3 linked regions of the Danio rerio genome follow. The protein of the gene in region 3 purifies or fractionates together with the protein of the main gene of each other region. This does not show direct contact. Links are inferred from orthologs where the notes say so. Each region holds a gene or a part of one and is shown on either strand. Other genes may lie near its edges.

The links.
Region 1: the proteins of abi1a (region 3) and nhsl3 purify together in Homo sapiens (affinity purification with mass spectrometry; 3 studies listed by BioGRID and IntAct, with this or other methods). This does not show direct contact. The link is inferred for Danio rerio from reciprocal best matches to the Homo sapiens genes ABI1 and NHSL3.
Region 2: the proteins of abi1a (region 3) and nck1b purify together in Homo sapiens (co-immunoprecipitation; 4 studies listed by BioGRID and IntAct, with this or other methods). This does not show direct contact. The link is inferred for Danio rerio from reciprocal best matches to the Homo sapiens genes ABI1 and NCK1.

What each region holds. Positions count from the first base shown.
Region 1 is NC_133194.1:33,366,392-33,370,045, reverse strand, and holds part of nhsl3 (NHS-like protein 3), read left to right. Parts: intron 1-306; coding exon 307-459; intron 460-572; coding exon 573-613; intron 614-806; coding exon 807-933; intron 934-1,328; coding exon 1,329-1,436; intron 1,437-1,584; coding exon 1,585-3,654. UniProt on the Homo sapiens protein: Able to directly activate the TNF-NFkappaB signaling pathway.
Region 2 is NC_133199.1:3,692,845-3,697,109, forward strand, and holds the start of nck1b (SH2/SH3 adapter protein Nck1), read right to left. Parts: upstream 2,810-4,265; 5' UTR 2,772-2,809; intron 1,607-2,771; coding exon of another isoform or gene 1,530-1,606; intron 1-1,529. Other genes in the region: wdr37 (WD repeat-containing protein 37), read left to right, coding at 1,530-1,606, 2,810-3,044, 3,645-3,786. UniProt on the Homo sapiens protein: Adapter protein which associates with tyrosine-phosphorylated growth factor receptors, such as KDR and PDGFRB, or their cellular substrates. Maintains low levels of EIF2S1 phosphorylation by promoting its dephosphorylation by PP1.
Region 3 is NC_133199.1:6,125,416-6,129,614, forward strand, and holds the start of abi1a (abl interactor 1a), read left to right. Parts: upstream 1-1,319; 5' UTR 1,320-1,424; coding exon 1,425-1,541; intron 1,542-4,199. UniProt on the Homo sapiens protein: May act in negative regulation of cell growth and transformation by interacting with nonreceptor tyrosine kinases ABL1 and/or ABL2. May play a role in regulation of EGF-induced Erk pathway activation. Involved in cytoskeletal reorganization and EGFR signaling.

The sequences.
Region 1 (3,654 bases), on a different chromosome or scaffold from region 3:
ACTTTTGAAATTGATGAACTACCTATGATATCATACATCTGGGGTCTTTTAACTTGATCCTGGTAGACCACTCTCCTAAAAACTCCAAGCCTAGTAAAAAATCTAACTCTAACAGGTAATCAATAGTTTGGATCAACTAGAAACCTACAGACAAATATGTTCAATCTGCAGGATGTTGGTCTTTCAGGAGCAGGATTCTATATCCCTGCATGACATACTGCATGTTAATGAGAAGGTTTTGTGAAAGAGTGCATCCATTTATGTGTGCGTACCTTCACCTTCCTTCTGTCTGTGTGTCTGTACCAGGTCAGAAGCAGGATGAGCAAAAAAAGCTGACTGTACACTACACTGCTTCCCAGCACTACCAGGAGAATGTGTTCATAGAGGGGAGCAGGCCAAAATATCTGGAGGACCTGCATACAGAGGCTCAAGAGGGACTGAAGATACTACAGCAGGAGGGTGAGCATTACACCCACCTTTTCCAATTACACAAAACACACTGCTCGCATTCTGGCCTTCTAACATACACTTGTGTTTTCTGATGCACCTCACTCAGTCTTTCTTCCATACAGAGAACAAAAATGGAGCGGACTTTCAGGATGACCATATTGTGGTAAGCCTCTGAAATTTAAGTTTTTCACAAATAAAGTACAATATGGTAACAAGTAAAATCATAAATGACAAGTTCCTGAAAATGTTTTAACTGTAATTTCGTATTTCTTCACATTTTAAAGAAGGGTTGAAATAATGTATAAATTGAACCTTTAAAGGATGTATTTATACGGTTGAACTCCTTGCTTGCACAGCCAGAGGAAGACACAAGCTCAAAAGAAAGGAATGAATCGCTTGAGAACGATAGCACCTCAGGACACTCCATCATTTCAGTGTCGACTGCCTCAGCAGTCTCTTCACGTCCAGTGCTTACACGTCAAGGTATACAATGCTGACTTAATAAGAAGTTTTAAAATAAAACATGCTTAGTGGCACTGCCTCTTTGTTTTTCCCCACTAATTTGTTTTCAGGTTTAACAATTGCAGTTGACACCAGTGGTGCTCAGCCCTGTACCTGGAGCTCTACCTTCCTGCAGATTTCAGTTCTAACCCTGTTCAATCACATCTGAACTAATTTATTAGGACCTGAACAGTAGAAGTTTAAGCTAAAATATGCAGGAAGGTAAATCTCCAGGAACTGGACACCCCTGGTTTACACTGCATGGCAGTAGCTTGAGCAAGTTATCATAGTAATAGCAATGCAAAGAAAAAAAAAATACATTTTATATTGCTTTAATTAAAAAATATTTAATCTCTGTACGAACTATCACTCTTTAGGTTCTACATTTAAGCCCTTAAACCCTGTTAAACGACTGGATAAGTCCAAGAGACGGAGTCGAAGAACAACTATCATGGGAATACCACAGCAAGTTCAAAGAGAACTTGGTATGTAAAGCCATTGACATATATTAAGGCATCATTGTTTGAGCATAGCATACCTCAAATCAGTAGTGCCAACAAGTATGTAAGACTATGATTTTCCACAAAATTAAAAGAAATTATAATAATTGCTTATATATTTTGTATACCTTAGATATGGCAAGAGGAACTATGCTGCAGCAGCTTCCAAACAGAGGACATGACAGTGAAGATGATTCATCTGGAACAGTTGTTCTACAAACAATTGATGGAGATCTCCCATCTGTAAATCATGAAGGGGCTCGTGTACACCTGCAGAACATTGAAGTCCTTCAGGCATCAAGAGATGAAGACTTGCTTTTGAACCACATCCATTCTGTCTACCAAGATGAGTTAAACAGAAAGCTTGGACTTGGAGCATGCCCTACACAGAGGCCTAAGTCACTTGCTGTGCCAGGGATGACCACTTACTCTTTCCTACAAGAGCCTCAAGGCCCTGTTATGTCTATTTCTCCACAGGCAACATATTTATCTAAGATTATTCCAAATGCAGTTTTGCCAGCTGCAATAGATATCATTGAAATCAATCATGATCACAACCGATGCAGTGCAAGTACAGCTAGCAAGGGTAGTATGGCATCAGCTAGCCCATCTTCTTCACGGTCTGGAAGTGGGACAAATCAAGCTCCTCCCACTACTAGTCCCAGCAGGAGCAATTCACAATCATCGGAGACTATAGTCTCCAATTCATCCACAATCTCTTCAAAAGGAAAGTGTCTACCAACCTTTGATGCTGACAGCGCCAAAGACATTTCAGTTTTAATCCCAAAGGACATGAGTGTTTCGAGCTCAAGCAGTTGGAAAAGTTCTGAGGGGAAAGGTACAAATCACAGACTGAACCCCAGAGAGTATGGTGATGCAGGGGACAATGTCAGAAACAGCCATTCGTTCTCCCGTAGTCTTTCTGTTATGAAGACAAAATTACCACCAGCACCACCTCAGAGAACCTACTCTCTGCATCATGAAAACATGCAGAGACAGAGAGAGCAGGGAGACATACAAGATCCCAAAGATGTGGCACCAAATAATAATGAGCAAACAAACAGAGATATCAGCAGTACAAAAGAAAATCATCAGTCCGCTAAAAACAAGAAGAGTTCAGTCCATTCTTTAGAGCTTAGATCAGACTTCCACACAACTGTGAAATCTAGTCCACTTAGTCCTGATCAAGTTTTCACTGGAAGGCATGCCAGATCAGGTAACTCATCCCCACAGAAAACTAGAGAATGTGGTGAAAATTTTGATAGGACTTTGTCTCCTTCAAGTGGCTACTCAAGCCAAAGTGGGACACCTACGCATTCCCCTAAAGAGGTCAGTCCCTCCTCACCTGGAAAGAGAAGAGTAAAGCCTTCAAAACCTGAGAGAGTATTTGCAAAGACTTCACCTGTGGTTTCGGTGTCTTCATCACTAACATCTCTGTCTTCAGTCATATCAGATACAGCACATCAGGACATTCAAACCAATACCACTTCATCGGAACCACTCAAATTCTCCCCTCCACTTACAACAGTGAAAAACAAAGTTACACCTACACACCAAACTATTGCTCTTAGGACACTATTCAACATTCCCCCACCACCCAAGGTAAAAGCCCCATCTCCCCCACCCCCTGAAACCTGGGTTCAAAATAAACAGACCCTTGAACTACTATGTGGCCCAGGCCCAAACATCCATAAGTTGGAGTCATTAATATGTAAAACTCAAAATAAAAATTCAATGCAAATCAATGAACAAGTAATTCCAAAGACACAGACAACAGAAGAAACTAAGACTGAGAACACAGTTGTAAAAGAGCTAACTAAATCTGCATCACCACAAGTGCATAAACAAATGATGGTAGAACCTCCAGATGTAAGGCATACAGAAAAGTCCATTTTACATAATGAATTAAAAAGTCCAGAAACACTTGCAAAGGTAAACCAGATCCCTCACACACAAGATGAGAAAACGATAGAGGACCAAAAGGACAGATGGAGTCAAACACTTCCTACAACAAATGTACCATCTATTATAGTTGATCAAAGCATGCTGTCACAAACAAACTCTATAGAAAAAACAAAAGCTGCAACTGTGAGCAGCAATGAGAACCAAAGAAACTGCATTGTTACCGACATCGTGAATCGTATATCAGTGCAAACACTCAGTATAGAGGTACCTGAGGTCAATGGAATTTCTCCACCTCCTT
Region 2 (4,265 bases), about 2.4 Mb from region 3:
AACTTTTTAATGGTTTGCTTTTTTTTACACAATGTCTTATATTTCTGTGTCTTGTTTATTAATATATGTTGGTGAAAAACGAATCAATATGTATTTTTATTAAAATGATCAATTGACAATAACAATTTCCACAGTATAGAATATATAATCCAGCAACTGGATTGTAAAGAACGCCTATTTCATTTATATCACAGATCAGTAATATTCGTCTGTCTATCTGTAAATGGTTAAAATTGAAGGAGAAGAATATGCTTAAATCTAATGAAATAAAAATGTCGGATTTTTAATTCAGAAAAATCTCAATTGTCTGAATTTTAAATTAAGATTTTTAAAATATTTTTAAAAATAAATGCAACTTAATTTCTATAATTTCGCTGGTTTAAATCCAAGCTCAGTTGCCATTTCTGCGTGGAGTTTGCATGTTCTCCCCGTGTTCTTCAGGTGCTCTGGTGTTCCCCACAGTCCAAACTAGAGATCTGCGCAGCACTAAATTTTGAATCCCGCTCCCGCCAGGTTTTAGCCCTAACCCGACCGCTCCCGCTTATATTTAGCATTTGTTGTCCCTCTGCCCAACCCGCCCCGTTTTCTACCCGTTGCGCCCATTTTCGCTAACGGACGAGGGGGAGAACAAAAGCGAAAACCCCCCAGCTATACAGAGTCCAGACAGCCTATAACAAACTATAACACACACACAAGCACCAAGCAAGTGACACACACACAGACAGCATCACGCTCTTTCTCTCATTCACGCATTCACGCATAAACACACACACAGCACAAAGCTCTCTCTTTCATATACACACACACACACACACACACACACACACACACACACACACACACAGCAAGAAACAAGCTAAGCGCAGCATCAGGCTGTCTCATTCACACACATACATACATACGCGTGCTTGCTCGCTCAGGAGTCAGGAGTGATATTGTTAGACCGCGAGCTTCTGTACAAAATTAAACCAGTTACCGACCGCTCCTGCGCTTCTTTCGGAAATTTATCTCCGCACCGCAAGAAATCTAGTCGGCCGTAGTGTACGAGTGTGAATGCGAGTGTATGGGTGTTTCCCAGTACTGGGTTGCGGCTGAAAAGGCATCAGCTGTGTAAAACATGCTGGATAAGTTGGCGGTTCATTCCACTGTGGCGACCCCTAATGAATAAAGGGACTAAGCCGAAGTGAAATAAATGAATAAATAATAATAACAAATGTTATAAAAATATTGTGAAAATGCCTTTGCTGTGTTGAACGGTGCTCGGGATAGATTTAAAAACATATTACAATTTCACAAGAGAGCTTTTAATATTGCCTTCAACTGTGTGTGATTGTCTGCTGATCTCTCATGATGCTGCTAATGAGGAGTTATTTCATGACTGAGGGCTGTACTGCATTAAGACTGAGATGTTTCTCTCTTTCATATAGATTTGTATTTCCCAGATGCTTTTAAATGTGATTTGATCAATGGCTGTGCTTTTTTCTTTTTGCTAATGTTGCCTCTGTGTTTGTTTTGTCTGTTCCTGACAGCGTCCGGGGACCAGACGGCTCACATCTGGCGTTACATGGTACAACTGCCACTTCCACAGCCTCCAGCAGACATCAGCGTGAGTATTAAACACACACGCACACACAAACACCCACAGAGACATGCGTACACACACGCGCATGCAGACGCAGACAGATACACTTAGACGCATATGACACACGTGTACAGACAAACATACACACAAAGGCAGACAGATGCGTACACAAATGCATACAGTACACACAAACGCAGTACACACAAACTAATTAGTTAACAGTAAGTGTAATATTAGTAATAATAAATATACAATTTAGTAATACTAAAATGTTCTGTGTAATAAAACGAAACAGGTAAAAAGTATTGAACACATGAAGGGAGGTGTGGAAATGCATGGAAAGCCCAGACAGCAGCTGAAATCTCTCAGTAGTTCTTCAGTAACCCTCTGCTTTTCCTCAGTGTAAATGAATATCAGCTGCTTCAGTCCAACATCTACATTAGCAGGATGATGGAGATGAAACCAGGGTGGACATTTCAGCAAAACAATGATCCATAACCAAGTAGACTTTCAAATGCTTTCAGAGAAAGAAAATCAAGCTGTAGAATGGCCCAGCCAATCATCTGACCTAAATCCAATACAGAATCTCAGATTTGATAGACGAGACCCACAGAACCATTCATTCATTTTCTTGTCGGCTTAGTCCCTTTATAAATCCGGGGTCGCCACAGCGGAATGAACCGCCAACTTATCCAGCAAGTTTTTACGCAGTGGATGCCCTTCCAGCCGCAACCCATTCCTGGGAAACATCCACACACACTCATACACTACGGAAAATTTAGCCTACCCAATTCACCTGTACCACATATCTTTGGACTGTGGGGGAAACCGGAGCACCCGGAGGAAACCCACACGAACGCAGGCAGAACATGCAAACTCCACACAGAAACGCCTACTGAGCCGAGGCTGGAACCAGCGACCTTCTTGCTGTGAGGCGACAGCACTACCTACTGCGCCACTGCTTCACCCACCCACAGAACCATATGTATAATATTGTGAAGCATCCTATAGAAAATAATATGAATGTAAAAGCGAGATCTGTAAAGGGTGTACTCATTTATCCTGTGCACTGTAAACCCTTTAATTATAGAAAAGTGTTTTATTTTTTATGAAATGTTTGTCAATTTGATCAGTTTTTCTGGTCATAATAACAGCTGGAGATGCTGAAATGGTAATGAAATCAAATTACCTCAAACATTTGCTCTTGTCATTTCCTGTGCGACTCAGGCCTCGCTGGACGATGACGTGGATTTCTCTGATAAAGACGAGGCAGACGGCGACGCTGATGGACCCAATGAATGCCCCACCATCCGCGTGGCCACAACCACCTTGAAGAGCCACCAAGGCGTGGTGATCGCCGCTGATTGGCTGGTGGGAGGAAAGCAGGTGGTCACTGCGTCCTGGGACAGAGCCGCAAACCTGTACGATGTGGAGACCTCGGAGCTGGTGCACACCCTGACAGGTGAACATGAGGAGAAATAAATCAACATTTACTAATGTGTTTAAGGAGAGTTATTATGGATATTTTAATTCATTCATTCATTTTTCTTTGGCTTAGTCCCTTATTTATCAGGGGTCGCCACAGTGGAATGAACCACCAACTATTCCAGCATATGTTTTACACAGTGTATGTCCTTCCAGCTGTAACACCCATACACACTCATACACACATTTTAGTTCACCAATTCCCCTATAGCGTATGTGTTTGAACTGTGGGGGAAACCGGAGCACCCAGAGGAAACCCATGCCAACATGGGGAGAACATGCAAACTTCACACAGAAATTCTAACTGACCCAGCCGGGACTCAAACCAGTGATCTTGCTGTGAGGCGACCACTGAGCCACCAGTTTTTAATATTTGTTGTTTTTTATTTCTTATACTCGTTTCTTTTATTCTTGTTCATGTAAACCACTTTGAATTACCATTGTGTGTGAAATGTGCAATATAAATAAAGTTGCCTTGTTTATTATTTGTTAAACCCTCAACTACAACTCAGTTGTATTGTATCAACCTCTACCCCAGCTCTAACCCTCACCATTACCTGTTTGTGTGTGTTTGCAGGTCACGATCAGGAGTTGACCCACTGCTGCACTCATCCGACTCAGCGTCTGGTGGTCACTTCATCCAGAGACACCACCTTCCGCCTGTGGGACTTCAGAGATCCCTCCATCCACTCAGTCAATGTCTTCCAGGGCCACACCGAGTGAGTCACATCATCTTATTGACCGTCGACATATAAACAACCTGCCAAAATGAACATTTGGTGTCACTTTAAATTACTGTATGCTTGTAAAATATTAATATTAGAGTAAATTAAAGTGCTTTTTATAGAAATAATATGGTATAATATTTTTTAATATGACATAATAATATAATAACAACAACAATAATAAATATTATTATTATATTTTAATAAATATTATATATTTATTAAATAAATACATATTTTTGTATTAGACCATAGATAAAGTTATGAATATTTTTTCAAAATGTTTTCCATAGTCATATTTTAATAACATTTTCAGTTCTTAAAGTGTTATGATTTTATTATTTAAACATACTTTAAAAAAAATGAATGAATTAAGATATTAAAATTACAACGCCAAACACAATGTGATAAAAAATCAATGCATCCTAAAATATTATTTTAAAATTTTGTATATATTATATTATGTATTATTA
Region 3 (4,199 bases):
TGTGTGTGTGTGAATGAGTGTATTTGGGTGTTTCCCAGTTATGGGTTGCAGCTGGAAGGGCATCCGCTGCTTAAAACATGTGCTGGATAAGTTGACAGTTCATTCTGCTGTGGTGACGCCAGATTAATAAAGGGACTAAGATGAAAAAAAAAGAATAATTAACTATATAATTAATTATAACTAAAACATATATCTATATTCAATGAATTAATTTAGAATAATTAGAATAAAATGTAAAATTACTTAAATAATCAGAGATTTTATTATTCATAATTTCTGAAATTGTAATAACTAAACTGTAATAACTAAATAGAAGCTAAATATGTTCAAATAATATTTTATACCGATTTATAATGTTTCCTGCAGCTGAAAGGGCATCCACTGCGTTAAAACGTGCTGGATAAGTTGGCGGTTAATTCCGCTGTGGCGACCCCGGATTAATAAAGGGACTAAGCTTCTAGTTCACTCAAAAATGAAAATTACCCCATAATTTACTCACCCTTAATCCTCCTTTTTTCTGCCAGACGAACACTCAGAGTAGTTTTCAATTTTATCCTGGCTCTTCCATGCTGTATAATAGTGTTGGATAGTGGCTTTTATTTTGAAGCTTCCAAAAAGGTTTCAATCCATCACCAAACTAACCCATATGCTGTCAAGGGGTTAATGCATGTCTCATGAAGTGGACCGATGTGTGTCTGTAATGAAAACATCAGTCATTTTACAGTGAGTTTTGAGATCTTAAAGAGAGGGCTGGATTGTAGCAGAACAGAAGGTTGGTTAGATAAACATCAGCTAGATTATTTAAAGCTTTATAGGTTAGAAGCAATGTTTTATAATCAATACGGAACTGAACAGGCAGTGTAGGGAGAATAAAATTGGGATGATATTGTCATATATTGTAGACCTGTTAAGAACTCTGGCAGCTGCATTTTGCACTAACTGCATATTATTAGTAGAGGATGCTCGGCAACCAGCGAACAGAGCATTACAGTAATCTAATCTTGAGGTCATAAAAGCATGAACTAGCTTTTCTGCATCTAAGTTGGATAGCATACTTCGTAACTTTGCGATATTTCCTTAAAAATACTGTTTTCGCCTGAAAGAAGAGAGTCATATACATAGAGGATGGCTTGAGGGTAAATGAATTGGGTGAACTATTTATTTACTAGCAAATTTACAAAAATTAGCTGTACTATCCCTTTAAGAGTGCTTTTTTTTGATTCAGTGATTCAGTGAGTCGCTGACTCCAGAACAGCTTTGTCGTATATTCGACTCGTTCAGTCCGGATTTATGAACCAGCTCAATTGACTCACCAAAAAGACTCGGTTCAAAAGAACGACTCCGACATCACCAGCAGGGCTGAGCTTGAGCTCTCAATCAAATCCCACAGACGAGGAGTAGGAAGCTCTGCGGAGACATGTAAGATGGCAGAGTTGCAGATGTTACTAGAGGAAGAAATCCCAGCCGGTAAACGAGCTCTCGTGGAGAGTTACCAGAACCTGACGAGAGTCGCGGATTACTGTGAGAATAATTATGTTCAGGTAAGCGCGCGCGCGCGTTTTCTCTGTTACGCGCTGATCTCCAGCACTGCTGTTGGGAGTCGGACAGGAAATATGGTTGTAAAACGGGAAAGCAGGGATGAGCCGCTTTTTGGGAGATTCTTTGAAGACATCAAAGGCGATATTTCGATGTAGAGCTTGACTTGTTTAAGCGGTTTGACGATCAGATTTGTGATCGTGTTCGGGATTTGTTTCGTTTACATTGAGGGTGTGTCTGGATACTCTTTAACTTAGACATTTGAAGTTTTGCTCATATCTGTGTCAAACTTCAGAAAGGAGGATGTGAGATTTTGGCCTCGATAGGAGAAGATTAGATATGAAAGGACTTCAACTGATTGTGTTTGCTTATACTTGATAATAAAACTGAACTAGTGTGTCAAATGGGAACACGAGAGGTCGTATAAAGCTGAGCTTCAGTCATGTTTTATTTCACCTTTGTTTGTTTCTTTTATCAAATAATATCAGGTCGGCTTCCTGCAATGCTGTTTGTTACGTTGTTTTTCTAATAGATTATTAAACTCTTAAGTGGTCAACTTAAAACTTAATACTTCAAGAGCGTATTTGGTAATCACCGATTTTAAATACTTTTTACAATGTTATTCAATGTATTTATTTGTTCAAAGGCATTCTTATATTTATTTAGTGATATTATGTAATAACATAGTAATAAACATTTCTTAGAAGTTTGATTGCGGTCGTATTATTAGTTTATTGATAGGGTTTTGAATAATATTTTGCTTTCCACATCAATTCAAACGACAAAATACATACAAAGTGTAATAAATACAAGTAATCTGTGTTTAACATTTAAAATGTACTTACTTTTTAAAGGAAATAATGTTGAAATGTGGGTGAACTAATTCAGTTGTCATTCAGCATCCTGTAAAAAGGACTCCCAACTTTTGACCTTACCTTACTGTATAATTATTATAAAATTGAATTAAGTGATCATACTAAATATTATGTTTTGAAACATCTATCTATCTATCTATCTATCTATCTATCTATCTATCTATCTATCTATCTATCTATCTATCTATCTATCTATCTATCTAATAATTCTAATGACAAAAAAACAAGCTATATTACACTTTATTGTTCTGATCCTTGATAACTTTTTTTGTGTGGCCAAACTTAGATATAAATAGTTGATTTTACATAGTATTCATAATTAATTTTATTTATCTTATAATTGGTCATTAAAATATCTATTAATACAATTTTTAAAAATTTTAAAACATTCTATCTATCTATCTATCTATCTATCTATCTATCTATCTATCTATCTATCTATCTATCTATCTATCTATCTATCTATCTATCTATCTATCTATCTATCTATCCAATCATCTATCTATCTGTCTGTCTGTCTGTCTGTCTGTCTGTCTGTCTGTCTGTCTGTCTGTCTGTCTGTCTGTCTATCTATTTATCTATCTATCTAGACATCTAGACATCTAGACATGAATGTTACACAAAAGGACATTTCAGTTAGTTTAATCTTCAAATCGCTTTAATATAAATGACTTTTTATCATTATTCCACAATTGTAATGACAAAAGAAACAAGAAATATTATACTTTATTGTTCTGATTCTTGAGAATTGACTTGGTCAGACGTATATAGTTGATTTGATATATTTTACTTCCTGACATACTTCATTTTATTTAGCTTATAATTGGTCATTAAATATAAATATTTATTTTATAAATGAGTAAAAACATACACACTGAAAACATATATTTATTTTATTTTATTTAATATTTAAAAAAATATATATAATATTTATATTTTCTTTTATTGAATTATTATTTAAAGTACTAATGAAAGTATTTTTATGTGTTTCTGATTTAGCAAATTTTGGCTTATTGACCATTTATCTCAGGGGCGTAGAATTAGCACGGGTGGAGGGGACGTGTCTCCTAATTGAAATGTCCTCATCTATAATTTAATCTGTCAGCTCTCCTTATCTCTCAGAGTAGCATGTCGAATTTTGGTTGAAACTACTGTTTGAAAAACTAAAGCTTGTGCTCCACCAACTTTAATTCATACTGATGTATGAGACACGTTTCGTTTGTGCTATGGCTAAAATAAATAAACGTCTTAATTAAACTCTATAAAGCATTTGTAACAGTAAGTTTAATTCCCTTAATTAAACTTAATGAATTGTATTGTATATAGAGTGGAATAAAATAAATAAAATAGCAATGTTAACGTAAAGGGATTTTGCAGCAAATAAAAAAATCTGAATTCATAATTCATAGGTCCCCACCAATGTCAAGAGTAAATTTACACTCCTGATTTATCCATATGACTGCAATATTTCTAGACTCATTTTGCAGTTACAATAGAAAATATTGACTTTATTGATCATCTGTTTAGTGTACACTTGATCTAAATCTGATAAGAAACCTTTTGAGAAAAAAAATCTGTCCTCTACGATTATTTGTGTCAAACAGCATAATGTTTAACGCGTCATTTTGACACAAAACACCTGTTGGAAATGCCTAAGAGGAGATTTACCCCACCATCGAGATGTTTATCAAGCTTTAATTGTGTTGTAATTCCTTAAGAAGAAGTTGCTCGACAGGTAGCGCAACATTTGATAGGAAAGCGGCCTGTCAGGTTTGATGTAAAATGGCA